Linked DNA regions of Macaca mulatta. The main gene of each other region encodes a partner of the protein of the gene in region 2 in a complex. Links are inferred from orthologs where the notes say so. Each region holds a gene or a part of one and is shown on either strand. Other genes may lie near its edges. The genes, in order: SART1, LSM2, LSM3, USP39, PRPF4, SNRNP40 and LSM7.

Region 1 (3,500 bases), on a different chromosome or scaffold from region 2:
AGGTGAAGGATTGTTCCTTCCTGTCCTGACCCCTTCTGGCCCCCTGAGCTGGAAGGGGGCAGGGTGAGTGGCTCCCTCCTCTCCCCACCAGCCATGGGCGGGCATAGCCTCACGTCTGGGCCCCCCTTCCAGAGGCGGGCACCAAGGAGGAGCCCGTGACAGCCGATGTCATCAATCCTATGGCCTTGCGACAGCGAGAGGAGCTGCGGGAGAAGCTGGCGGCTGCCAAGGAGAAGCGCCTGCTGAACCAAAAGCTGGGGTGAGGGGTCCTGGCCAGGGCAGGCAAGGGAAGGGCTGGGGAGGCCACCATCCTTGGCTGCCTTTTGAGTGGGGTTGGGAGCAGGAGCTGGGCTCCTGGAGCATCACTTTCTCCCCTCTTCAGGAAGATAAAGACCCTAGGAGAGGATGATCCCTGGCTGGACGACACTGCAGCCTGGATCGAGAGGAGCCGGCAGCTGCAGAAGGAGAAAGACCTGGCAGAGAAGAGGGTGAGCACCTGGGCAGCATGGGGTGGTTGCCCAGTGCTTTTGCTGGCCTGACTGGGCATTGAGGCAGGGGGTGGACCCCAGAGAGTTGAGACGGGGTTCGGAGAGGGGATGGGCTGTGGTTGGTAGCATCCGCTTTGGATTCTCAGCAACTTTCCTGCAAGGCCTGCTCTTTTTGCACTCCGCTTGGTAGAGCCCTGAGTGTTTTCTGGTGGTGCTGAGTGGCCTGAGGTCCTAGGTCACCCCTCCCTGTCCCATAGGCAAAGTTACTGGAGGAGATGGACCAAGAGTTTGGTGTCAGCACTCTGGTAGAGGAGGAGTTCGGGCAGAGACGGCAGGTGAGGCTGCAGCAGCCGGGGTGGGTGGTGCAGGGCACACTGGCGGCCTTGATGCTGGAATCCCAAGGTTGGGCGCATGGAGGGAGGTTCTTTACTCGCCTGATTCTTCTGTTAGGACCTGTACAGTGCCCGGGACCTGCAGGGCCTCACCGTGGAGCATGCCATTGATTCCTTCCGAGAAGGGGAGACCATGATCCTCACCCTTAAGGACAAAGGTGACGCGAGCTGGGTGCCTTGGGTCGGGGCACAGCCTCTGCTGAGTTGTGGACAAGTGTGAATGGCCACTGCTCTGTGCTGCCCGCAGGCGTGCTGCAGGAGGAGGAGGACGTGCTGGTGAACGTGAACCTGGTGGATAAGGAGCGGGCAGAGAAGAATGTGGAGCTGCGGAAGAAGAAGCCCGACTACCTGCCTTATGCCGAGGACGAGAGTGTGGACGACCTGGCGCAGGCACGGCCCAAGCAGGCTGGGCGGCGGGGGCTGGGGTGGAGAATGTCGGGAATAGGGGCTCTGAGGAGGTGGTGGCTCAGTGGCTTTTCAGGAGCCACCCTGGGTCCCAACCTGTACCTCTTACCTTGTAGCAAAAACCTCGCTCTATCCTGTCCAAGTACGACGAAGAGCTTGAGGGGGAGCAGCCGCATTCCTTCCGCTTGGAGCAGGGGGGCATGGCCGATGGCCTGCGGGAACGGGAGTTGGAGGAGATCCGGGCCAAGCTGCGGCTGCAGGCTCAGTCCCTGAGCACGGTGGGGCCCCGGCTGGCCTCCGAGTACCTCACACCCGAGGAGATGGTGAGCCCTCTTGCGCCTTGTACTTGGGGTCATGATTCTCCCTCCCCTTGGGGCTCCTGCGCTGCCCGCAGGCACTGGGAAGAGAGGGCAAGTATTTCTGTTCACAAAGCGCTTGGCCTCGTGGGCAAGCAGTAAATGGCAACCTGGGGAGGCACCAGGTGTTGACGGGTCAGGGCTGCTGAGCCAGATGGGCCCCAGTTGGTGTTTCTGCTCTGCCATACTGCCAGCTTGTGCCTTGGGTAAGCCATTTAACTGTGAGCCTGGGGTGCCCCATCTGGAGTGGCAGTGATAGGAGCCACCTCCTGAGGTTGCTGTGAGGATGAGTGACAGTGTGGCTGAGGGGTGACTGGAAAGGTGTGCGTGGATTCTGTCCGCAGAGTGACTGTGTGAACGTGAGGTAGTCAGCTGGTGTAGTAGGCGTCTTGCTCAGTGGGTAAGAGCAGGACTCTGGAGCCAGACTGCCCGGCTTTCCCACCTAGGAGCTGGGCGACCTTGGGGAAGGTACTTAACCTCTCTGTGCCCCAGTTTCCCTAATCACCAGTGGAAGGGAGATAGTAACCACCCCACGTGTTGCTCATGTGTGAGAAGTGCTCAGGACACTGGCTAGCACAGAAGAACACCAAAGAAGTGTTCATCCTCGCGGGCTTGTGGTGGCCTGCCTTTCCCCGCCCCGCCCCACGCCTCCCTCTTCCCCTCAGGTGGCCTTTAGAAGGACCAAGCGGAGGGTGAGGAAAATCCGCAAGAAGGAGAAGGAGGTCGTAGTGCGGGCGGATGACCTGTTGCCTCTCGGGGACCAGACTCAGGATGGGGACTTTGGTTCCAGGTGGGCTTGGACACCATGGTGGGGTGAGAGGGCTGGGCTGGGGTGTCCCGGGGGCCGGTGCTCACCAGAGAGGCCTCCTTCCCTCAGACTGCGGGGACGGGGTCGCCGCCGAGTGTCTGAGGTGGAGGAGGAGAAGGAGCCCGTGCCTCAGCCCCTGCCGTCGGATGACACCCGAGTGGAGAACATGGACATCAGTGATGAGGGTGAGGGCCTGGCCAGGGGGTGGGAGGGGGCAGGGACAGGAGCCCTGGGTTGGAGGAGATTGTCTGAGCAGGCATCCCCTGTGTATCCCCCAGAGGAAGGTGGAGCTCCACAGCCGGGGTCCCCGCAGGTGCTGGAGGAGGACGAGGCAGAGCTGGAGCTGCAGAAGCAGCTGGAGAAGGGACGCCGGCTGCGACAGTTACAGCAGCTGCAGCAGCTGCGAGACAGTGGCGAGAAGGTGAGGCTGGGCATGGGCAGGCCTGGGGCTACCAGTGCGTCAGCAGTCACCTGTCCTCACGAGCACATGTGTCATAGGCAACAGCCACATTCCTGTCTGAAGCCTCTTTTCCATTTGTTTTTTGTTTTCTGGGTTTTGTTTTTTTTTGAGACAAGTGTTTTGCTCTGTCGCCCAGGCTGGAGTGCAATGGCGTGGCCTCGGCTCACTGCAGCCTCCGCCTCCCTGGTTCAAGTGATTCTCATTCCTTAGCCTCCTGAGTGGCTGGGATTACAGGCACCTGCCACCACACCCGGCTAATTTTTGTATTTTTAGTAGAGACGGGGTTTCACCGTGTTGGCCAGGCTGGTCTCCAACTCCTGACCTCATGATCTGCCTGCCTCGGCCTCCAAAAATGCTAAGATTACAGGTGTGAGCCACTGCGACCAGCCCTGGTTAAAGTCATGTTTTCTGTTTAAAAGTCATGTTTTGCAAAAGTTTTTAGATGCCTGCTTTAGTAGGGGATCCTTTCCTGGCCTGTCTCTTCCTGTGCATGTTTGTTGAGTGCCTGCTGTGGGTAGTGCATTGTTCTTGGGCCGAGAAGGTCATTGGTGAACAGGACAGCCACGGGGCCCTGGACTCAGGGAAGTGGCT
Region 2 (3,972 bases):
TTCCTCATATGTATAACAGCAATAGTACATATTACTAAGGAGTGTTTGAGAAATCAATCAATAAATGTATTCAGAATAGTGCTTAGTCAATAGGTCTTCAGATATTATTTTTCTTTCCTTAAGCACCTATCATACAACTGGCCTATACTAGGTATTAGATACACAGTAGCATATCTAATACGTAGGTTTCACCATGTTGGCCAGGCTGGTCTCAATCTCTTGACCTTGTGATCCACCCACCTCAGCCTCCCAAAGTGCTGGGATTACAGGCATGAGCCACCATGCCCAGCCTATGGCCTGTTCTGTTTTTTTGTTTATTTTTTTGAGATGGAGTCTCGCTCTGGTCGCCCAGGCTGGAGTGCAGTGGTGCCATCTTGGCTCACTGCAAGCTCCACCTCCTGGGTTCATGCCATTCTCCTGCCTCAGCCTCCCAAGTAGCTGGAACTACAGGCGCCCGCCACCACACCAGGCTAATTTTTTGTATTTTTAGTAGAGATGGGGTTTCACCATGTTAGGCAGGATGGTCTCAATCTCCTGACCTCGTGATCCGCCCACCTCGGCCTCCGAAAGTGCTGGGATTACAGGCGTGAGCCACTGCGCCTGGCCTGGCCTGTTCTTTTTTGAGACAGTCTTCCTCTGTCACCCAGGCTGGAGTAAAGTGGTACAATCATGGCTCACTGCAGCCTCGACCTCCTGGGTTCAAGTGATCCTCCCACCTCAGTCTCCCGAATAGCTGGGACTACAGGCATGTAAACCACATCTGGCTAATCTTTTATAGAAATGGTTCTATGTTGCCCAGGCTAGTCTCGACATCCTGGACTCAAGTGATCCTCCTGCCTCAGCCTCCCAAAGTGCTGAGATTACAGGTGTGAGCCACCATGGCCAGCCTAGTACTTACTCTTTATTTATTTTTTTTGAGACAGAGTCTCACTCTGTCACCCAGGCTGGAGTGCAGTGGTGTAATCTCAGCTCACTGCAACCTCTGCCACCCAGGTTCAAGCGATTTTCCTGCCTCAGCCTCCCAAGTAGCTGGGATTACAGGCACCTGCCACCATGCCTGGCTAATTTTTGTATTTTTAGTAGAGACGGGGTTTCACCATCTTGGCCAGACTGGTCTTGAACTCCTGACCTCGTGATTCACCCACCTCGGCCTCCCAAAGTGCTGGGATTACAGGCATGAGCCACACGTCCAGCCCATGAGCCACCACACCTGACCAGTATTTACTCTTTAAACTGTATATTGCTTTGTATTGTTTTCCAATACACAATACAATCCCCAAGCTTATCTGTAAATTTAAGGCACAAGGCATTTATTTATTGTTAAATTTTAAAATTTGTCTTAGAGATGGGGTCTTGCTCTATTGCCCTGGCTAGAGTGCAATGGAGTAATCACTGCTCACTGCAGCCTCAAACTCCTGGGCTCAAGCAATCCTCCCTCCTCAGTCTCCCAAAGTGCTCGGATTACAGGCGTGAGCCACTGCACCCCACCCATTTATTTCTTTTGTTTGTTTGAGACAGAGCCTCGCTCTGTCACCCAGGCTGGAGTGCAGTGGCGTGATCTGGGCTCACTGCAAGCTCTGCCTCCCAGGTTCACGCCATTCTCCTGCCTCAGCCTCCAAAGTAGCTGGGACTACAGGGGCCTGCCACCATGCCTGGCTAATTTTTTGTATTTTTAGTAGAGACAGGGTTTCACCGTGTTAGCCAGGATGGTCTTGATCTCCTGACCTCGTGATCCGCCCACCTCAGCCTCCCAAAGTGCTGAGATTACAGGCGTGAGCCACCGCACCCGGCCATTTATTTCTTCTGTACATATTCCACCTCACCCAGCCCTCAAATATTTCTCAAATTAAAGAGGTTCCAGGGCCCTGGGCACACCCACCCCCAACAGACTTGTTGGAACAGGTACCTACCTCAGGTCATTCTTGAGTTCCACGACCACATCCTTGCCCACAAGGGACTTGAAAAAAGAATAGAAGAGCTATTGGGAGAGAGGGGGAAAACCATCATGTGGGAAGGAACATGGTAGGGAGGAGTGTCCCTTGACAGTATTACCAAATACCGGTATTGTGAACCCCATTGCATCCCTAACAGTTCTCAAAATTTCACAGGAAAGAATAATTGGTTGAGAGGTGAAAGGCTGGAGCCCAAATTATTCTGCACACTGCATTGAGCCCATCACTTAAAGTCCCAGAGAGGCTCTGCCCTGCATACCTCGGCCTCCCCAGTGTGCTCTCTCAATCGACCACCTTTCTCGGGTACCTGCCCACTCCTTTCAATGAATTACAGAAAACATCCCACCCGCACCCTGCCGAAGCTTGCCTGGCAGAGAAGTGCTCTAAGGTCTAACTTTTCCGTCTCCCGCTGTCCCCACTGAATCTCTCTCAGGGTTGGGGTTTTTTTCCTCATCATGGAAAAAAAAAATCCCATTTGCTCTCAGGTGTCTCCTCAACGAACTTGAGGAACAGGACTAACGATGAAGATAAAAACTCCGGACCTAACTCCAGCCTAGGGGGACAAAGGCCAGACCCCCCTGCCCCAACCGTCCGAGATCCCCGAGGGCGACCCCTTTTGACGTCACGGTACCCACCATGGTGCTGGCGCAGCGGGCAGCGGGCCGGAGCGAGAAAAGAGCCGGATGCTGAGACCAGGTCTGGGAGAACCGAAGCGCGAGCCCGCGCGTGGGGCGAGGCGGGACCGCGCAGGCGCAGCGGGAAGGGACGCAGAACCCTCCAAGCGCTGAAGGGTAAAGCGCGGCCGACTTGCGGCTGGGGAGCGCAAGCTGGGTAAAACCGAGGGGAGGAGGAAGCCGGGAAAGGGGCGGGGTTTCCTTCGTTCCGACTTCTTCCAGGGCCGGCCGGCTCCCATTGCGCAGGCGCGGACCCTAGCCTGGGCTGCTAGGCGGGTGGAGGCACTCGGCGTCTGAGCTCAAAAGGTTTTGTTTTCCATAACCCTGCCGTCCACAGCGTGATGTGTTCGTGCCCTCTACACACATCCTATCGAGAATTGTGGGGAGTTTGTGAAGATTATGAAGTGTGCACTTTTCTATATTTGTTAAAGTAAAAACATAAAATTCAAAAAATAAAATTAAAAAATGTTTTTAATCTTAAATTCAGCTGATAAAAAAAAAAAAGGCCGAGGGCGGTGGCTCACGCCTTCAATCCCAGCACTCTGAGAGGCCAAGGTGGATGGATTGTGTGAGGTCAGGAGTTCGAGACCAGGCTAGCCAACATGGTGAAGTCCCGTCTTCACTAAAAATACAAAAAAAATTAGCCAGGCGTGGTCGCGGGCGCCTGTAATCCCAGCTACTCGGGAGGCTGAGGAAGGAGAATTGCGTGAACCCGGGAGGTGGAGGTTGCAGGGAGCCAAGATCATGCCACTGCACTGCAGCCTGGGCGACAGAGCGAGACTCGTCTCAAAAAAAAAAAAAAAATTGGCCGGGCGCGGTGGCTCACGCCTGTAATCCCAGCACTTTGGGAGGCCGAGACGGGCGGATCACGAGGTCAGGAGATCGAGACCATCCTGGCTAACACGGTGAAACCCCGTCTCTACTAAAAAATACAAAAAACTAGCCGGGCGAGGTGGCGGGTGCCTGTAGTCCCAGCTACTCGGGAGGCTGAGGCAGGAGAATGGCGTGAACCCGGGAGGCGGAGCTTGCAGTGAGCTGAGATCCGGCCACCGCACTCCAGCCTGGGTGACAGAGAGAGACTCCGTCTTAAAAAAAAAAAAAAAAAAAAAAATTGACCGGGCGCAGTGGCTGACGCCTATAATCCCGCACTTTGGGAGGCCAAGGCAAATGGATCACCTGAGGTCAGGAGTTCTAGACCAGCCTGGCCAACATGGCGAAATCCTGTCTCTACTAAAAACCCAAAAATTAGCCAGGTGTGGTGGCACGCGCCTGTAAACCCGGGAGGTATAAGTTGCAGTGAGTGGAGATCGTGCCATTGTACTCCAGCCTGGGCAACAACAGTGAAA
Region 3 (4,134 bases), on a different chromosome or scaffold from region 2:
GGGGTGGGAAGGAATCTGATTTCAAGGTAACTTGATAAATTTACTCACATGTAATCTGCCTCGAAGCTCTCGGTCATTTCTCATCTTCACATAAATTCGCTCATCTAGGCTGAGCCTGATAAGATCCAGGGGCTCCTCTACAGTGTTGGTAGTTTGTTGCTGATAACAGAAACAGGTTTAGTAATATAGTACTAGAGATAAAGTAGTGCTTAAATCACTGCTATGCTGTATGACCATGTGCAAGTTATTTAACCTTTTTCTGCCTCAGTCTCCTAATCTGTAAAATGGAGATAATAGTGTCTACCTAATACTGTTTTTATGAGGCTTAAGTGACATATATGAAGGCTTAGAACAGAACTTTTCACATAGTATGTGCTATATAAATGTAGATTAAAACACGCATACATAAGAAGGAGTTACACAGCAAAATAATCATGACTATACTTTGTTCCCTCAAAATCCAAACTGCCTGACCCGATTTCAGGGTATAGGGTCTTAGGAACTTTAGCTTTATCTCAAATATTATGTAATCATAGGAAAAACACTCACTTAATGCCTACCATATACTAGTCAGAATGCCAAGTAGAGGTGTAGGTTTATGGGAAGATTATGAATTCAGCACAGGTTGAGGTTAGGCTGCCAACTGGCCAGTAAGATGAATATTTAGTAGCCAGAATAGAACACTGGTTCAAAGCACTGGCTTAGCCGGGCATGGTGGCATGTGCCTGTAGTCCCAGCTACTCCGAGGCTGAGGTGGGAGGATTGCCTGAGCCTGGGAGGTGGAGGTTGCAGTGAGCCAAGATGGTGCCAACAAGCAAGCAAGCACTGACTTTGGAGTCAGGCAGTCTGGGTTCAACTCCTGGCTGTGACCTGACACTTATGAACTGAGATTAAAAATCATGCCATCTGTAATTCTCAGATTCTTCATTTGTAATTGAGAAAGCCACAACCTTCCTTCTGGATTCTTATGAGGATGAAACTAGTTAATGCATTTAAAACAGTGCCAGGAAAGCAGAAAATATTAATACTTAGAAACGGTTCCTTTTGGCTGGGCGTGGTGGCTCAGGCCTGAATTCCAGCACTTTGGGAGGCTGAGAAAGGCAGATCACCTGAGGTTAGGAGTTTGAGACCAGCCTGGCCAACATGGTGAACCCCGTCTCTACTAAAAATACAAAAATTAGCCAGGCGTGCTGGCACGTGCCTGTAGTCCCAGCTACTTGGGAGGCTGAGACAGGAGAATCGCTTGAACCAGGAGGCAGAGGTTGCAGTGAACTGAGATCACGCCACTGCACTCCAGCCTGGGCGATAGAGTGAGACTCCATCCAAAAAAAAAAAAAGAAAAGAAAAGATTCCTACTAATATTATATTATTAAAGAACTGCTGGAAACACTGGTTTTAGAGGTCAGGGCTAGGATGACTTGGGGTCACCCACATGGAAGGGAGGGTTGCAGCCATTAAAGAGTTAGATGATTCAAGGAGAGCTTCTTTAGTAAGTACACAAGGCCAGTGGAGGAAGGTAACTGAATTCGTAACAGGCGCTAAAGATTCAAAAGGCCCGATGAGAGAAAAAAAAATAACCTAACTCAACTGGTCCCTATGTCCCTCAGTTCAACAGGTGTTTGTTAAAGGATCAGATAACCAACTGTTAGATTACAATGATACAGAAGTCACAATCTCCACCCTCAAGGAGCTCATTCTAATGTGGATAGGCATATGAATAATTATAATACTGTAAGAATATGCACATGACAGAGCTCTACTGCTACCTAAGCCTCTGTCTGGGATGCCCACTTTCTGTTCTTTTTCATCCTGTAGCTTTATACATTGGCTTTTAAAAGAGGCCTCCTCTGATCATCTAACTCATTCACTCAAATATTTGTTGAGTATTTCCAGCACTGTTCTAAACCCCAAGGACAAAAGAATGAACAAAACAAAATGCCTACTGTTATGGCACTTACATTCTAGTCAGGAGAGATACACATTAAACAAAGATGCATACATTTAATATGAAAAAATAACGTTCTATGAAGAAAAATGAGGCAGGGTAAGCAGAGTAGGGGGAGTGCTATTTGGGCAGAAGTCCTCTCTGAGGAGGTGAGATTTCAGTAGAAAGTTTAAGTTGTAGCATGATCTCCAAAGATATTTGAGGAAGAAAAAGACCAGGTGAAAAAGCTTCTAGGACCATCTGTTATTCTGCATACCAGTTCCTTGTTTCCTTCATAGCACATCACAGTTCCTATAAATCTTACATATTTATATTTATCTGTTCTCCTCGCGAATATAAGCTCCAAGTCATGGCAAGGATCACTTATATATCGATGTCAGTGTCCCTGGCTCTTAGAACAGTGTCTAACCATACAAAGCTGATGTTCACTCTCTCTGCTGAATGAGTAAATAATTGTTGTGCTCAGTAATAACAACTCCTAACTTTATTATCTGGCTTTCTATTGGAATCCTGACAGCTCCGTGAGGTAGGCACGCATAATAATTTACAGATTTAAAAAAACAAAGCGAAGAGTGTGATGAATAGTCATCAGGTGGCCTTCTAACGGAAAAGACCTCAGGGCCTGCAGCAAAATTCGGACAGGGGTGTTTACGGAAAGGATGGGGCGGATTAGGCCGTGTGACTTGGAAAGAAGAGGCGCGACTGGCCATTTTTCCTGCGTTTGGAAAAAGCAGTTTAGTACAAGAAGCGGCGCCGAGCCACCGCCTTAAAATTCACTCACCTGGTCTACGTCGTCCGCCATGTTTCAAACCCTGCGCCCTTTCCCGCCTCTCGCGAGAACACAAGAGCAACGCCGAGCTCCGGAAACGTGATGCTACAATACACCGGAAATAGAAACCTGCTGTGCTCTTGCCTGCTTCCCGCGGTTTTTTAGTGGCCACGGGTATGGGGCGGAGCTTCCTTTGGGGGCGTGACTAGGCCTCCAACGAAGGGGCGTGGCCAGACGCGCCCGCCTCGGGGCGGGGCCTGCGTTCTAACGCATCGCGGCCTGGTGCGTCACTCGCGAAGTGGATTTTTCCCCGACAAGCAATATGGCTCGGAAGCGCGCGGCCGGCGGGGAGCCGCGGGGACGCGAAACGCGCAGCCAGAAGTCCAAGGCCAAGAGCAAGACCCGGCGTGAGGAGGAGGAGGGTGAGAGCGTGGCCCAGCGGGCTTCGCGGGAGACTCTGCCGGTGGGCGGAGGAGGCCCAGAGGCAGGGGCGGCGGGAGTCCAGACGCGGAGGCCGGGAGGAGGTTGCTGCGCGCGTTCCGCGCAGTGGGGGCAGCACGGCAGGCCGCGGCCGGCCCTCCCCGCTGTCCCTGCGCCTTTGTCCTCTGCACCCAGAGCGGCTTCCCGTGAGCCTCGCCCGACCCAAGCTCCTGCGTAGCTTCTTTCCCGCTCCCCGTTGTCCAGAGGATACAGCGCAGATGTTCAGGGTTGAACGCGGAGAAGGCAGTTATTTGTGTCCCAGGAAAACGGACGGACGGACCAGGACGTAGAGTGATGCAGTGTGCTGACTCCCGAATGATAACTTCAGCTGAGTCTCGCCCAGAGTTCCACAGTGGGATCCCACCTGACTTCCCCTCGTGGATATTGGATAGGCTTCTTACATTTGTCGTGGACAGTGCAGAGCTCATGGTCTTCCCCTTCAAATCTATGCTTTCCTCCGTTTTTCCAGTCCCAATACTTGTTATAAAACAAAGTCCACCTTTTTCTTATGTGCACACATCCAGTCCCGTCAGCAAGTCCAGTCAGTTCAGCCTCAGACTGTATTTCAAATTTGTCCACTTCTCTTCATTTCCATGGCCACAACCCCTGTCCAAGTCACCATCACCTTTCAGTTGAGTGACTGCAGTTTCCTCTTGACTGGCCTCCCAGCTCTGCATCCAGCAACGCAAATAATCTTTAAAAAAAAAAAAAAAAATCATGCCATGCTCCTGCTTTAAACTCTCCTTGGTTTTCCATTGCTCTTAGTTTAAAATCCAGTTGTCTTATCCTGGCCTGCAAGATGCTACGTGTTTTGGCTCTTGCTACCTCTCCTGTTTCTCCTACCACTTGTTTCCTTGCCAGATACCCTCCTCATTGGCCTCCTTTCTCTTCCTCAAATATGCCAAGTTATTTCTTGAGCCTTTTCCTTTGATATTCCTTC
Region 4 (3,500 bases), on a different chromosome or scaffold from region 2:
CCTGACAAGCTGAGCCCAGCTAAAGAAACAAGGACTTCCAACTTGTAGAATAATTACTTCAAAGAGAGATTTACTCTCAAAACAAGAGGATGCATAAAGTTTATCCTAATTCTCAGTTGTCTATCTTATAGAGAAATGTTGCACTCTGGCTTCAGCAACAATACAAATAATATTGGACATCCTCAGAGAAGAATTATCCACCCTCCAGATGGATGACCTGGTCCAGTCAACCCTATTTTAGCGGAAACATCATCACACAGGGTTTGTTCATCCATTTATTTTTATAAAGAGACGTTCCTACATGAACTAAAATTCATCAGAAAGCCAAGACTAACAGCTCTGACCAAATCCAAATTCTATCTGTCCATCCTATAAGTTTTCACTCAGCGGGGCATGGTGGTTTACACCTGTAATCCCAGTACTTTGGGAGGCCGAGGGGAGCGGATCACGAGATCAGGAGATCGAGACCATCCTGGCTAACATGATGAAACCCCATCTCTACTAAAAATGCAAAAAATTAGCCAGGCGTGGTGGCACATACCTGTAGTCCCGGCTACTTGGGAGGCTAAGGCAGGAGAATCGCCTGAACCTGGGAGGCAGAGGTTGCAATGAGCTGGGATTGCGCCACTGCATTCCAGCCTGGGAGACAGAGCAAGACTCCATCTCAAAAAAAATTAGTTTTCACGCAGCCATGAGAGGATTTAAAGGGAACATCTGATGAAAAGTCTCTCTCTACCTAAGAATTTGACCTTTCCACAGACTAGGCATGACACCAAGAGCAGACACCAAATGTAAAAACTACGCCTTTACAGTTTTTTGTCCAATTCTTCATGACAAAAATATCACTTAGAAAAATTTAAAGGCCAAATAAGTACTAGCAGAAAACATTTGCAACATATCCAACAGAAAAGGGCATAACTTCATTATATATTTCTTAAAGCTCAGTAAGATGAACCAATAGGAAAGGAGTCTATAAGGTGCAATAACTCAAGAAAAAAATATAAATAATCAACTTTAGAAGTGAAGCAAGTTTGGGTGCAGTGACTCACACCAGTAATGCCTGTACTTCTCAAAGTCCTCAAAATTCTCCAACAGCCTCGAATTCCTGGGCTGACAGGATCCTCCCACCTCAGCCTCCCAAACAGCTAGGACCACAGGCATGCATGCACCACCGTGCCCAGCTAATTTTTTTTTTTAAACAGAGACACGGTCTCGCTATGTTGCCAGGCTGGTTTCAAACTACTGGCCTCAAGGGACCCTGCCACTTTGGCCTCCCCAAGAGCTGGGATTAGAGGCATGAGCCACCGTACCCAGCCCCTCACAATTTATACATTTTTTCCCCAGTAAGCCTGTGTTTACAATTACAATTTTTTAATCACGTTCTTGGTGAAGTAGAATTATTGTTTTCTTATTATACTTACCAACATTTAAAAATTGGCCGGGCGTGGTGGCTCACACCTGTAATTCCAGCACTTTGGGAGGCTGAGGCAGGTGGATCATGAGGTCAGGAGTTCAAGACCAGCCTGGCCAAGATGGTGAAACCCTGTCTCTACTAGAACTACAAAAATCAGCCAGGCGCAGTGGCAGGCGCCTGTAATCCCAGTTACTCAGGGGGCTGAAGCAGGAGAATCGCCTGAACCCGGGCAGCAGAGGTTGCAGTGAGCTGAGATCCCGCCACTACACTCCAGCCTGGACAACAGACTGAGACTCCGTCTCAAAAAAAAAAAGAAAAGAAAAGAAAATAGGACAACTTTGGTTTTCTGTCTTTTCCATTTCAGGGTTATGAGCATATGGGCAAGAGAAAGTCATTGATCAGCCAGCATGACAAACATCTACACCATTTAAAAAAAAAAAAATGCATCTGGCATGTTTCTTACTTGACACTGCAAGGCAACACAAACTTGGTCCCGCATTCCCTGGAAGTTACAAAGGCCATGAGCCAGAGGCATGAAAAAGCCTCACCAGCCGGGCGCGGTGGCTCAAGCCTGTAATCCCAGCACTTTGGGAGGCCGAGACGGGCGGATCACGAGGTCGGGAGATCGAGACCATCCTGGCTAACACGGTGAAACCCCGTCTCTACTAAAAAGTACAAAAAACTAGCCAGGCGAGGTGGCGGGCGCCTGTAGTCCCAGCTACTCGGGAGGCTGAGGCAGGAAAATGGCATGAACCCAGGAGGCGGAGCTTGCAGTGAGCTGAGATCCGGCCACTGCACTCCAGCCTGGGCGACAGAGTGAGACTCCGTCTCAAAAAAAAAAAAAAAAAAAAAAAAGAAAAAGAAAAAGCCTCACCATTTGACAGCAGCCCAGTGAGCAAAGGAATGCTCTGCCTGTTGCAGAACAATTACTCAAGTAGAGTCCTTAGCAAGACTTGGTGTCTGAGGATCATCTGACTATACTCTATAAGAAGGCAGTAATTTCTTTTTTGAGATGGAGGAGTTTCGCTCCTGTTGCCCAGGTTGGAGTGCAATGGCATGATATCGGCTCACTGCAACTTCCACCTCCCAGGTTCAAGCGATTCTCCTGCCTCAGCCTCCCGAGTAGTTGGGATTACAGGCATGCACCACCACACCCAGCTAATTTTGTATTTTTAGTAGAGATGGGGTTTCTCCATGTTGGCCACGCTGGTCTCCAACTCCTGACCTCAGGTGATCCTCCCACTTTGGCCTCCCAAAGTGCTGTGATTACAGGTATGAGCCACCACGCCCGGCCAAAGGCAGTAATTCCTTGGCCAGCATACATACTATTTCCTGTCCCTCTCTTTTTTATTTTTTCTTGAAACAGAGTCTCACTCTGTTCCCCAGGCTGGAGTGCAGTGGCACGATCTCGGGTCACTATAACCTCTGCCTGCCGGATTCAAGTTGATTCTCCCACCTCAGCCTGCCGAATAGGTGGGATTACAGGCTTGCACAACCATACCTGGCTAATTTTTATAATTTTAGTAGAGACAGGGTTCCGCCATGTTGGCCAGGCTGGCTGGAACTCCTGACCTCAGGCAATCCGCCCGCCTTGGCCTCCCAAAGTGCTGGGATTACAGGGGTGAGCCACTGTGCCCAGCCTTCTGGGTGTCCTTCTCTTCCTCAGTGTTCCCGTCTTGATCTTACCTGAAGAACGGCGTTGGCATAGTCATTAGCCTTTATGTTATTCAGTCCCACAATACCCGGCAGGTAAGTGGTACCATCATATGCCCGGGACAATTTGGCTTGCTTGTCCAAGTTTGCAATTTGCTGCTTTGTGAAAGTGGGCTTCAACACATACTGCAAAGCAAAAGAAAATGCTAAGTTGTTTAAGAGCTGAGTTCACAAGAAATGTCTACAAACAACAGCAATTTCTACAAAAACAAAGAACACTTTGGCCATGAACATCCCACCACACACAGAAAAAGTCCCAATCAGTAGGTGTAAAGATTGAAGTAACACAGGGTAGATCCTCTCCCATGGCTAATCTACAAGGGGATCTCTGTGTCTAACCCAAAATCACTGAATCCCAGGTCTTTTCATAGAC
Region 5 (3,500 bases), on a different chromosome or scaffold from region 2:
ATCATTTATACTTTACAGTGAAGGTAATGAGGCTTGGAGAGGTGGACTGATTTGTGCAGTCCCTTGGCTTTCTCCTAAACCAGTCTCAAGGTCGGCCTAGTCAAGTAGCTCCTGTGTATTAAATCTAAGTTTCCTTTCTCTTTAGTTAGCCATGTCTCACAAAAAAACACAACCATTTGGGAGGCCGAGGCGGGTGGATCACAAGGTCAGGAGATGGAGACCATCCTGGCTAACATGGTGAAACCCTGTCTCTACTAAAAATAAAAAAAATAAAAAAAAAATAAAAAAAAAAAATTTGTCAGGCATGGTGGCAGGCACCTGTAGTCTCAGCTACTCAGGAAGCTGAGGCAGGAGAATGGTGTGAACCCAGGAGGCGGAGCTTGCAGTGAGTGGACACTGTGCCACTGCACTCCAGCCTCGGCGACAAAGTGAGACTCCATCTCAAAAAAAAAAAACCAAACCAAACCAAACAACCAAACTCAAACAAAACAACAAAGTTACCACATCCTGAGTTTTCTGCGTATGTGGTGATAAGAAAATAAAACAAAGATAAACCAATAATTAACATTTAATGAGCCCTTACTACATACCAGGCACTGTCAAGGCAAAATGCTTTACAAACACTACCTCATCCCACTTTACAGATAAGGACACTGAAGCTGACAGGGATTAAGTATCTTAGGGAGATCACATAACTGAAAAAGAAAAGCCAGACTGAGTTATGGATACTAGTTGGTCTGTAAACTCACTACATGACCTGCTCCAAAATACTAGTGTCAAGAATGTGACAGAGTGCTAGAGTGTAATGAATCTCTGGGGTCACTGGTGAAGACTGAGAACGGCTAAACCAAGTCTGCATCATATTATACAACAGGTAGAGCACTGACTGATATCTGTAGTTTGGTGTGATCATGAGAAGCAGAGAAAGAGGACGTACAAATAGACGTCTAAGACAAATGCTAATATTTTCCTGAGCCTGTTCCCCATTTAGGAAAAAATGTCACTGTAAAATGGAACTTACCAACAAGCTGTGGCCAGCATCTTGGAATTGGGACTAAAGTGACAGTAGGAGATAGGCCGATCATCCCCAATCTGACTGCAAAAATTATTCAAAGACTTAAAAAGAAAAAAAACACACACACACGATGATCATTAATAGGTTAATCTGAGTTCCTTGGCTTTTCCACCAAAAAAAGAACAACAAAGCAACTTTTCAGTTTTAACCCATCCCAAGATTCTTCTGTGGTTTTGAGACAGAGTGTTGCTCTGTCGCCCAGAGTGGAGTGTAGTGGTGTGATCTTGGCTCACTGCAACCTCTGCCTCCCAGGTTCAAGCGATCCTCCCATCTCAGCCTCCCAAGTACCTGGGATTACAGGCGCATGACACCATATCTGGCAAATTTTTGTACTTTTAGTAAAGACAGGGTTTCATCATGTTGACTAGGCTGGTCTCAAACTCCTGAGCTCAGGTGACCCACCCACCTCTGCCTCCCTAAGTGCTGGGATTACAGGCATGAGCCACTGCACCCAGCTGTTTTCTATAGTCTTAGTATCACAACTTCTGAGTCAGATAAATATAAACAGAAAACCCCAGAGAAACTTTGACGTATTAACAGGGAGAAATAAAGAAGAGAACCATAGGCCTCTGCTGAGTACAAAGCACAGCAAGCTCCTGTCACGTTAACTGATTGCTCCTTCCATGTCACAGCAGCTCAGCTCAAGCAGGGAGGGATCGCTCTAGTCACCTCTACCTTCCCAGAGGTGGGCCAAAGTAGAAAAATCACACAAATATGAAGAACCTTTAAGACGTGGGACAATCACTGGGAGCATCTTACCCGGAGAGACTTGTGCAGCTCTTGCATCTGGGAGGTCCTTGTTGTCTCAGGAATCTCCTTATGGAGTCGGGCCTCTTCCAAGCGTTTCATTGCCCTGTGACACAGAAACACCATCACCAGGAGCAACAGGGTTGTAAACAAGGGTCCACATGTATCTCTACCCCTCAATTTCATTTAACAACCACAGTCATTATCAAGCACTCAGTTCCTGAAACACACACACAAAATATGCTTCTTTCTTCTACTGGAGGCTCTCTTTACCTGGGCAATGAATAATTAGCAATCCATAGTCTTGCCACCTTCAAGCTATTTGGTCCTTCATGGTACCAGGTCTGCTGATACTGAAAGGCAAATTAAGAGCAGAAAGGTCAAATCTGAAGCATTCTACTCCTGTCGTTTCTCCATGTTAACTGCCCAGAAGGAAGGTGAATTCGTTTGGTAATAGTATGAAATCAGGCATATGGCTTTCTACCGTATTTTTTTTCTATGATATGTAAATAGATGGTTATACCAGGAATGCTATGATTCTTTCCTGACTGGAAAACTCACTTAGCTCCATTCATACTTACAAAGGAACCAAAACTACTGCCAGCAACTATTCTTGAATGGTAGAGCCTTCAAAGACACTTCCCTCCATCATCTTAGCAAAGCAAACCATTGAAAGCAGAAAATGAGAGACCTATCTCCTCATTTCCTTCATGTTTACACTGTGAAGTTAAAGACATGTTCTACCTCTTCTTTGGACTTCTTAGACTTCTCATCATCCTTTTTGGTCTTTTTCAAGGCATCAGTACCGACGACTGAGAGGATATTTCTTAACCTGTTAAAAAAAAAAAAAAAAAGATCAGAATTTAAACATGGTTGACATAACACTGTTTTTAAAGTACACTTTAACACAGTTTTAAACACTGTTTTTAAAGCTCCCCTAAGATGGGAGCAAGCCTCTACTATTCTCTTACTGTTCAAACCACCTAGCAACCTTTTTTTTTTTTTTCTTTTCAAGAGATGAGGTCTTGTTGTTGCCCAGGGTGGAGTGCAGCGGCACGGTCATGGGTCACTGCAGCCTCAAACTCCTGGGCTCAAGCGATCCTTCCACCCCAGCCTCCTGAGTAGCTGGGACTACAGGTATAATGCTACAACTGGCTAATTTTTAAATTTTTCTGCAGAGACAAGGTCTTGCTATGTTGCTCAGGCAAGTCTTGAACTTCTGGGCTCAAGTGATCCTCCTGCCTCAGTCTCCCAAAGTGCTGGGATTATGGGCATAAGCCACTATGCCCAGCCCTCCAACAACCTTCAAAGAGTCAAGTGGGGATGGCTAAACTCCCACTGTGGTTTCTCCCACTCAGTCTTCTCTATTTGGAAATTCCCAAAATTCAACTATAAGCAATTACTCTATGCAGTTTAGAGTCAATGAGCCCCTACACTGCTACCACTTGGTTTGTGAAGACTGCCAACTTTCACTCAGTGCCACAATGTACTGGATACGGACTCAGGTGCTAACTGTACAGTGATGACTAAGAATCCGTTCTTGATTTCAAGTAGCTTAGTCCTGGGGAAACGACAGAGAGTACTGGCGAACTATATTATATTACCTATCACGACAGCAGTAAGCACACAGTGCTAGAGGGGACTTTGTAAGGGGGATCTAACTAGGCTTAGAGGATCA
Region 6 (3,971 bases), on a different chromosome or scaffold from region 2:
GCTTCATCTTGTACCATACTCCCCTTCATTCTCTTTGTATCAGTCACACTGGCTCTTTGTGCTTTTAGTCATTTTTCCTCCCAAGTGCCTCAGGGCTCTGAACAAGTAGTTCTCTACGGAAGGTTCTGCCTTTACCTCTTCACTTAATTAATTACAATTCTTCCTGCAGCTACCAGAGCAGGCATCTTTTCCTCTGAAAAACCTTCCTGCTTATTTCAGGCACTCAGCATCAAACAGCACTAGGAGGCATTTCCATGTATTAGTGAGGTCATTGTTTAACGTTTTCCCCACCAGACTTAAACGCCCTGAGAGTAGGGACCGTGTCTGGTTCACGACGTACCCCCAACGCGCTGCTAAATAAATATCAGCTGGACGACTGACGCAATGACCACGTTCATGGGCATGAGTCTCAAATTTCTCAACAAGACTGCGCTCTGGAGAAGGAGTCGGACATTTCCTTCATCATTGTCTCTCTCAGGGGGGCAGAGACTAGGCCCTAATCAAAAACTGCAAAATCAGTGGCAGAAACAAGTCAGCCTCCTCGGCCAAACGGGGCGCCGGAGGAAGTTGGGACACAGGCCTTTCTCCCTGGGAATGCCCGGCACAGGACTGGCCACGACGGGCGCTCTTGAAGAAGGGAGCCGCAGGGACTGGGTCTTGCCGCCAGAGACCCCCAAGGCTCCGCTCCCGCCCGGAAAGGGAGCCCATGCTACTACTTACCACAGCTGGGGACTCGGGGCCCCGCCTCCCACCCCTTGCTATCGGCACCCTCAGCTGAGAAGGGCAGCTTCAGACTGCACAACCGAGGCGTCGCCTTCAGACTCAGGCTGCCACCCACCCAGCTCTTCCTCATACGTACTAGGCGTCAGCTCCAGGCCCCCGAGTCCCGGCGCTGAACTAAACGCCGAGCCCAGTCAGCCAGCGCGTTTCCACCCACAAGACCCAGCGCGCCTAGGGAGGTCGCCAGCTCCGTCCACCAATCCTGGAATCGCACTCTCATGACGTCAGAAAGATATGCCCAATAACAAGAGACTATCCGAGGGCAGTGCAAATGGGTATATTGAAAACCGATTGGTTCTTCCAAGCTGGAAGTTGTGGAGGAAGGACTAAGCTGGAACCAATTGCGTGGCGCCTGAGGGGGGCAGCGCGGTCAGTGGCGGCGCTGAAGAGACCGGTTGCCGCCATGATAGAACAACAGAAGCGTAAGGGCCCAGAGTTGCCGCTGGTTCCAGTCAAGCGGCAGCGGCATGAGTTGCTACTGGGAGCGGGGTCGGGCCCGGGAGCCGGGCAGCAGCAGGCGACGCCGGGAGCTTTGCTGCAAGCGGTAAGTGAAGAAGCAGGCGGCCTTTGGCCCTCAGCTCATCTTCCTCCCCTCAGAGCGCTGTATCTGGTGACCCGGCACCGACCCTTCCCGCATTGCGGGGGGCAGAACGAGAGTTTCTACCTAGAGTTAAAGCACACCAACATTGTAAAAGCGCCTCATAGCCTGCGGATGCTCAGTACTTGTTCGCCCGTTTGGCGCTGGTTTTCAGCCTCTCGACTGCCTTGTGAGGTAGCGTTAGAATTAGCGTTGAGAACCTTGGGCTCACAACCCGGACCCGGGCTTAAGCATCCTGACTCTAACATGGATCTAGCGTAGAACAGAAATTCCGAAGACTTTGTAGAATGAATGAATGAGGGAGGGAGGAAAAGAGGGAAATGATTGGTGTTGGCTCGTTTTGGGACTTTGGGCAAGTTGCTTTTCCCTTTATTTCTCTGCACTAGTATTATTAACAACTGAATAGCAGCTAACATTCGTTGACTCTTGTACTAAGGTGTTTCGTATATGAAATTTCCATTGATCTTGGTAGCAGCCTGTTAGGAACGTTATTAACCCATTTTGCAGATGGAAAAGCAGACTTATCAAGCACGTGATAGAAACAGATGTTGAACTGAGAAACCATGCTCCTAACTATATTTTTTGTAAGATGGAAATAGTGATCACACTTCTAATGCCCTGTTTAGGCTCAGACGAGGAAATACGAGTGTCCTCTCATCTCCTCAATAAATCCTGCTGGCACCGTTCTCAAAATAGATCTAGAATTGCTACTTCTACCATTTCCATCACTGCCTCATGGCCTAAGCCGTTATTATCTCATCTGGCATTTTTGTAGTGGGACCCTAACTGGTCTTCCACTTTCTGCCTTTGTAGCAGCACCTGTTACCAAGCCAATAACCAAAGGAATCCTTCTAAACAACGGATCACATTACATTCTGCAGAAAACTTTCTGGTGGCTTTCTACTTCATCCAGAGTAAAAACCAAAATTCTTATAATTATTTGTCCTCTTTCCCTTTACCTCTCTGACCAATTTCTCATTGCTCACCCGGCTTCAGTTACACTCTCTTCCAAACCTCTGCCTCTGGACCTTTGCATTTGCTGTCCTCCCTATGGGATTGCTCTTCCCAAATGTTCACATGGTTTATTATTCAGCTCCTGCGAATATTTGCCCAAATATAATTTTTTCAGTGAGGGTTTTCCTGACCACCCTGTTTTAAATTGCAGTACCACATAATGTGGAACCCACATTGCTTCTCTCTCTCTCTCTCTCTCTCTCTCTCTCTCTCTCTCTCTCTCTTTTTTCTTTTGAGATAGAATCTCTCTGTGTTGACCACTGGCTCGCTGCATCCTCCGCCACCAGGGATCAAGTAATCCTTCTGCCTCAGCCTCCTGAATAGCTGGGACCACAGACACAGACCACCACACCTAATTGTATTGTATTTTTTTGTAGAGACAGGATTTCACTCCTGAGCTCAAGCAATCTGCACACCTTGGCCTCCCAAAGTGCTGAGATTACAGGCATGAGCCACCTTGCCCATCCCTTCTTTTTTTCTATAGCACATGACACCAAGTATATATTTTGCTTGTTTTCTCTCACCTTCTCTCCTCCCTTCCCCCTTTCCCACTGGAACAGCAAGCTCCATTGTTTATTTTGTTCATAGCTGTTTGCCCAGTGCCTAGCACATAACTTTTTATTTTTAAGATGGGATTTTGCTTTTGTCACCCAGGCTGGAGTGGAATGGCGCGATCTCAGCGCACTACAACCTCCGCCTCCCGGGTTCAAGCGATTCTCCTGCCTCAGCCTCCCGAGTGGCTGGAATTACAGGCGCCCACCACCACGCCTGGCTAGTTTTTGTGTTTTTTTAAGTACAGATGGGGTTTCACCATGTTGGTCAGGCTGGTCTCAAACTCTTAACCTCAAGTGATCTGCCCACCTCAGCCTCCCCAAGTGCTGGGATTACAGGTGTGAGCCACCGTGCCCAGCCTGCACATAACATTTTTTAAAACTAAATGAATGTGGCGGGGCTTGGTGGCGGGCACCTGTAATCCCAGCCACTCAGGAGGCTGATGCAGGAGAATCGCCTGAACCCAGGAGGCGGAGTTTGCAATGAGATGAGATCATGCCATTGTACTCCAGCCTGGGCAACAGAGCAAGACTCCTTCCCAATAAATAAATAAGTAAGAATGTGCTGGAAAGTGCTGAAGAGATTTGGGGATTATGGGTAGTATACTTCTCCCATTTGACAAGTGAGCATATCAGCCCATGTTTAGATGAATTGCCCAAGTGTCATCTTAGTGTCCAAGACCATAATCAAAACTACTTCACCCGTGCTGAGGATCCCTTCGCTATGAAAAAAATAAGAAAGAAAAATAGGCCATGCGCAGTGGCTCATGCCTGTAATCTCAGCACTCTGGGAGGCCAAGGCAGGCAGATCACTTGAGGCTGGGAGTTTGAGACCAGCCTGGCCAACATGGTGAAACCCCATCTCTACTAAAAATGCAAAAACTAGCTGGGCATGGTTGTGCATGCCTGTAATCTTGGCTGCTCGGGAGGCTGAGGCACCAGATCCCTTGAACCCAGAAAGCAGAGGTTGCAGTGAGCCGAGATCACGCCACTGCATGCCAACCTGGGTGACAGAGCAAGACTGTGTC
Region 7 (3,980 bases), on a different chromosome or scaffold from region 2:
CTCGCCGCCTTAGGTCACAACTTGGCACCTTGGGTTAGGGCTCTCTGACCCGGTGGTGACCTCTGCCATCTGATCCTGCTCCGCAGTGTCTGGTGACACTGAGAAGGGTGAAGGGGGAGCTGCGTGTCCTCAGCAGAGGCCAGCCCACCCTCCCTGTCCGGGACTCCCGTCCTCTCCCCCCAGGCTCCTCCAGCCCAGGCCCAGGAGCGGTTCCGCCTCTGCGCTCACTGAGGGGCGTCCCACAGCCACCCGCTCCCTACCCTCCTTCTTACCCCTGTCATCTTTCAGGTGCTTCCTCCAGACACCAACCCACACCCCTTAGGGTGCTGCCCTCTGCATGCCCCCCACCAATCTCAGGAAGCAGGCACCCCAGGCATTATTCTGCCCGCCTATCTTCTCCCAAGGCAGGGCTGTGAGCCTGTCCATGGCCGTTCTGCGCTGCGAACTACGACCAGAGGCGAAAGTGGCCCACCGCTCATCTCTGTATGCCAAAGTTTCACTGGCCCACCAGCACACTCGCCCGCTCAGGCACTGACCAGGGCGGCTCTCCTGCTCTGCGGGCATAGCTCACTGGTTGTGACAAGAGACCATCTGGGCTGCAAAGCTGAAGATATTTGCTGTCTGGCCTTCTACAGAGAAGGTCTGCCCACCTGCATACAGGCTTTAGCTCCTACCTCCACGGCTCCCTCTCTCTGTGCTCAAGTCCCTCCCCTGCAAAATGAAACTTGTCACCTATGAGATGGGGTCAGACGCAGCGGTTCAGGTCCTTGGCACCAGCCTGACCAGTGAGCCAGCCCTCCTCACGGGGACAGATGTGAGCACTGAGGTAGGTAGGTCTCTAACCAAGGTTCCCCTCCCCGGGGTGTGGGCTCGGGCCTGTGACTCTGAGGGGACATGACGTCACTCCTGCACTTAGGTTATGCAGCTGTTTAAGCCCCTGAACCAGCTGACTTTGAGCCAATCTAGAGGGAAACACCCTGGGTGAGCCTGACCATATCAGGTGAGTCCTTCAGGGAGCAAACCCTTTCTCTGCTGTGTGTGTGCGTGTGTGTGATTTATTTATTTTTAGACGGAGTCTCGCTCTGTCTCCCAGACTGGAGTGCAGTGGCGCGATCTCAGCTCACTGCAACCTCTGCCTCCTGGGTTCAAGAGATTCTCCTGCCTCAGCCTCCTGAGTTGTTGGGATTACAGGTGTGCGCCACCACGCCCAGCTAATTTTTTTGTATTTTTCGTAGAGATGGGGTTTCACAAAACCCCATGTTGGTCAGGCTGGTCTCGATCTCCTGATCATATGATCCGCCTGCCTCAGTCTCCCAAAGTGCTGGGGTTACAGGCGTGAGTCCCTGCGCCCCGCCAAGAGCTGCAGCATGCATCACCAGCCCACTGCCCATGCGAATGCTTCCTGCCCTCTGAGAGCTCGCCCTGTCTTCACTAGATTCCATGGAAGAGTCGCAGGCAGAGGCAAGCATCAGGTTAACATGCACGAAACCGCAAACGGTGACAGGTGCCACCAGGATCCTAGAACGATGGGGGGCCTGACGCCAGGGTCAGGGAGGGCTTCCCAGAGCAAGCACCTGTGGAACTTGTGCTTTTGCCGCCCTTTGCAGTCATAATCAGAAGTATGGATTCGGATTTTACTCCAAAACAACGGGGAGCCTCAGAGCTTTTCAGCAGGGAGCAAGAAGCCTCCATTTCTTTTTCATTAGGTGCCTCTGGCCGCTGAGTGGAGACTGACCTTAGTAGCTGTGATTCCCAATCACAGCTTGGGGGTCGGGGGGCGATCCTATCCCCAGAGAACACTAAGCAATGTCTGAGGCTATTTAGGTTGTCACAACTTGGTGGAGGCCAGGGATGCTGCTCAGCACCCTGCAGTGCCCCAGGACGGCCCCACTCCAGAGAATCCGGCCCCAAATGTGTCCACACTGCTGTGCGGGAAAGACCTTGACTTAGAGGGAGGAAGAGGAGAAGCCGGGAGATCTGTGGGGATCTGGGGCAGTCCTTGGACACACAGGACTGCTCTGGAGGCCAAGCCGGAAATCCCAATACCGGCTGCGCCACTGTGACTTTGGGTTACGTTTGTTTCCCGCTCCTTGCCCCAGTTTCCCCGCCTGCAAAATGGCCATACCAGTTCCTACCTCCCGGCGTAATTCGGAAGCCTGCACAAGGTAGTCGGCGTCAAGCGTGTAAAGAGGCGCCTCTGCGGCGGCTCACGCCTGTCATCCCAGCACTTTGGGAGGCCGAGACGGGCGAATCACTTGAGGTCAGAAGTTTGAGACCAGCCTGGCCAACATGGTGAAACCCCGTCTCTACTAGAAATACAAAAATTAACCAGGAGTGGTGGCGCCTGTAGCCCCAGCCACGCAGGAGGCTGAGGCAGGAGAATCGCTTGAACCCGGGAGGCGGAGGTTGCAGTGAGCTGAGATCGCACCACTTGCACTCCAGACTGGGCGACGGAGCGAGACTGCGTCTCAAATAAATACATAAATAAAAATAAATAAAAGAGGCGCCTCTGCATGCATCCTCATCACCTCTCTTGCTGAGTTTATTTTAAAATTTTAAAGGGGGGGTGCCAACGGCGGGAGCCGCCTCACCTTCGCGTCCTCCCTGAAACTTCACCCGGATCGTCTTGTCGATGTACTTGGACAAGTCCAAGATGCTCTCCTTTTTCTTCTTCTCCTTATCCTGCGGGGAAAGCAGAGCGCATGAGGCCTGGAGCGCGGCCCGAGCCCCACGCCCCCCGGCTCCGGATTCCGCCGCGCGCTCACCGCCATCTTGTCGCGCCGTGCGGCTCTTCGCAGACACCGCCCCGTGCCCTGTGACCTCTCCCCTCCCCCCCCACGCGCATGCGCGGCGCATGCGTGGCCCGGGGTCTCGGGGCGTTGCTGGGAAACATCTGCCGACGGTTGCGGCGGGCACCGGCCGAGATGGCGGCGGTGGCGGCGGCTGCGCTGGCGCGGCTTGTGGCGGCCTTTCTGCTCCTCGCGGCCCAGGTGAGCGCGGCACCGGTCCCGACGGCACCGCAGGCTGCGGCCCTTCGGCCTCTCGGCCCCGAGGCTACGCGCAGGAACGACCCCTCTTGGCCCGTCTTGGGGGGTCGAGCCTCGGGGATCCGCGGTCCCCTCGTTGTCGGCCGGCGGTGCCGGGGCCCGGCCGTGACCTTGCGGGGCTGTCCCCGGCTTCTCTCCCTTCCCCGCCTCGGAGGCCCTCCGCCGCTGCAGCGCCCCTCACTTCCCACCGGGCCTGAAGTTTGTGCCCCCTCCATCTCCCGGTTCTGCTTGTCCGTTTCGGGGTCTCCAGCCGCCGCGGGGGACGCCTCTCTCCCGCTCTGTGGCCTTGGGCAGGCGGCCGCCCACCCCGCTCCGAGCCTCAGTTTCCCTTTAGGCGGAATGGCCGGGTGCTAAGCTAACCTCACCCTAGGGGGTGCGGTGGGGGAACCCAGAGGCGTCCCGCGTGTCCCCCAGTGACTGGCCAGCATCCTGGAGCGGCCAAGAGCCCAGCCCTGCACTGGGGTCGTATCCCCGCTCCATCTTTTACTCCGTGACCTTGGACGAGGGAATTCCCTGCTTTGAGCGTCGGTTGCTCGTCTGGAGAAGGGGGGTCGACTATGGTGTGGATTCTGGAGATGCTACCCAGGGTGACCAGCGCCTAGGGACAGCACGCCTTCCTTATATTCATTGTGTATCCTTTGATGTAGAGTGTCAGGTTCTAGCGGGGACAGTCTACGAGATGGCACTGTCGTAACTGCATCTTTTATTTTCTTAATTCCAAGTCTTCCCTCTTACCTGAGTTTGGTGGCTCAGGGAATGGAACCCGGAGCAGCCTCACAAATGCGGCCCTTAACCTTCACTCCTCTCTCAGAGTTCTCTTAAGGCGTTGCTGCCACTGGGCTCCTTCTTAGTCTCCACTCTTCCAGCCCCACCGCCATCCCCCTGCTGTGGCTGCCTTTGTCCCCCACATCCCTAGTCCATCCTCGACACAGC

The links.
Region 1: LSM2 (region 2) and SART1 share a complex: the UniProt entries of both Homo sapiens proteins name them as parts of the U4/U6-U5 tri-snRNP complex. The link is inferred for Macaca mulatta from reciprocal best matches to the Homo sapiens genes LSM2 and SART1.
Region 3: LSM2 (region 2) and LSM3 share a complex: the UniProt entries of both Homo sapiens proteins name them as parts of the precatalytic spliceosome. The link is inferred for Macaca mulatta from reciprocal best matches to the Homo sapiens genes LSM2 and LSM3.
Region 4: LSM2 (region 2) and USP39 share a complex: the UniProt entries of both Homo sapiens proteins name them as parts of the U4/U6-U5 tri-snRNP complex. The link is inferred for Macaca mulatta from reciprocal best matches to the Homo sapiens genes LSM2 and USP39.
Region 5: LSM2 (region 2) and PRPF4 share a complex: the UniProt entries of both Homo sapiens proteins name them as parts of the precatalytic spliceosome. The link is inferred for Macaca mulatta from reciprocal best matches to the Homo sapiens genes LSM2 and PRPF4.
Region 6: LSM2 (region 2) and SNRNP40 share a complex: the UniProt entries of both Homo sapiens proteins name them as parts of the U4/U6-U5 tri-snRNP complex. The link is inferred for Macaca mulatta from reciprocal best matches to the Homo sapiens genes LSM2 and SNRNP40.
Region 7: LSM2 (region 2) and LSM7 share a complex: the UniProt entries of both Homo sapiens proteins name them as parts of the precatalytic spliceosome. The link is inferred for Macaca mulatta from reciprocal best matches to the Homo sapiens genes LSM2 and LSM7.

The regions. Positions count from the first base shown.
Region 1 is NC_133419.1:8,451,985-8,455,484, reverse strand, and holds part of SART1 (U4/U6.U5 tri-snRNP-associated protein 1), read left to right. Parts: intron 1-132; coding exon 133-259; intron 260-382; coding exon 383-488; intron 489-745; coding exon 746-823; intron 824-938; coding exon 939-1,038; intron 1,039-1,127; coding exon 1,128-1,270; intron 1,271-1,401; coding exon 1,402-1,608; intron 1,609-2,306; coding exon 2,307-2,431; intron 2,432-2,518; coding exon 2,519-2,634; intron 2,635-2,727; coding exon 2,728-2,870; intron 2,871-3,500. UniProt on the Homo sapiens protein: Plays a role in mRNA splicing as a component of the U4/U6-U5 tri-snRNP, one of the building blocks of the spliceosome. May also bind to DNA.
Region 2 is NC_133409.1:150,509,493-150,513,464, reverse strand, and holds the start of LSM2 (U6 snRNA-associated Sm-like protein LSm2), read right to left. Parts: upstream 2,801-3,972; 5' UTR 2,591-2,800; coding exon 2,588-2,590; intron 1,979-2,587; coding exon 1,911-1,978; intron 1-1,910. UniProt on the Homo sapiens protein: Plays a role in pre-mRNA splicing as component of the U4/U6-U5 tri-snRNP complex that is involved in spliceosome assembly, and as component of the precatalytic spliceosome (spliceosome B complex).
Region 3 is NC_133407.1:152,980,521-152,984,654, reverse strand, and holds the start of LSM3 (U6 snRNA-associated Sm-like protein LSm3), read right to left. Parts: upstream 2,801-4,134; 5' UTR 2,748-2,800; coding exon 2,727-2,747; intron 160-2,726; coding exon 49-159; intron 1-48. Other genes in the region: XPC (DNA repair protein complementing XP-C cells), read left to right, coding at 3,037-3,136. UniProt on the Homo sapiens protein: Plays a role in pre-mRNA splicing as component of the U4/U6-U5 tri-snRNP complex that is involved in spliceosome assembly, and as component of the precatalytic spliceosome (spliceosome B complex).
Region 4 is NC_133418.1:38,765,493-38,768,992, forward strand, and holds part of USP39 (ubiquitin carboxyl-terminal hydrolase 39), read right to left. Parts: intron 3,254-3,500; coding exon 3,101-3,253; intron 1-3,100.
Region 5 is NC_133420.1:45,029,425-45,032,924, forward strand, and holds part of PRPF4 (U4/U6 small nuclear ribonucleoprotein Prp4), read right to left. Parts: intron 2,655-3,500; coding exon 2,567-2,654; intron 2,176-2,566; coding exon 2,096-2,175; intron 1,929-2,095; coding exon 1,835-1,928; intron 1,117-1,834; coding exon 1,022-1,116; intron 1-1,021. UniProt on the Homo sapiens protein: Plays a role in pre-mRNA splicing as component of the U4/U6-U5 tri-snRNP complex that is involved in spliceosome assembly, and as component of the precatalytic spliceosome (spliceosome B complex).
Region 6 is NC_133406.1:209,565,584-209,569,554, forward strand, and holds the start of SNRNP40 (U5 small nuclear ribonucleoprotein 40 kDa protein), read left to right. Parts: upstream 1-1,171; 5' UTR 1,172-1,183; coding exon 1,184-1,324; intron 1,325-3,971. Other genes in the region: ZCCHC17 (zinc finger CCHC domain-containing protein 17), read right to left, coding at 174-185, 734-853. UniProt on the Homo sapiens protein: Required for pre-mRNA splicing as component of the activated spliceosome. Component of the U5 small nuclear ribonucleoprotein (snRNP) complex and the U4/U6-U5 tri-snRNP complex, building blocks of the spliceosome.
Region 7 is NC_133424.1:3,075,559-3,079,538, forward strand, and holds the start of LSM7 (U6 snRNA-associated Sm-like protein LSm7), read right to left. Parts: upstream 2,801-3,980; 5' UTR 2,772-2,800; coding exon 2,766-2,771; intron 2,683-2,765; coding exon 2,592-2,682; intron 2,525-2,591; exon of another isoform or gene 1,436-2,524; intron 1,001-1,435; exon of another isoform or gene 917-1,000; intron 827-916; exon of another isoform or gene 405-826; intron 1-404. Other genes in the region: SPPL2B (signal peptide peptidase-like 2B), read left to right, coding at 2,925-2,990. UniProt on the Homo sapiens protein: Plays a role in pre-mRNA splicing as component of the U4/U6-U5 tri-snRNP complex that is involved in spliceosome assembly, and as component of the precatalytic spliceosome (spliceosome B complex).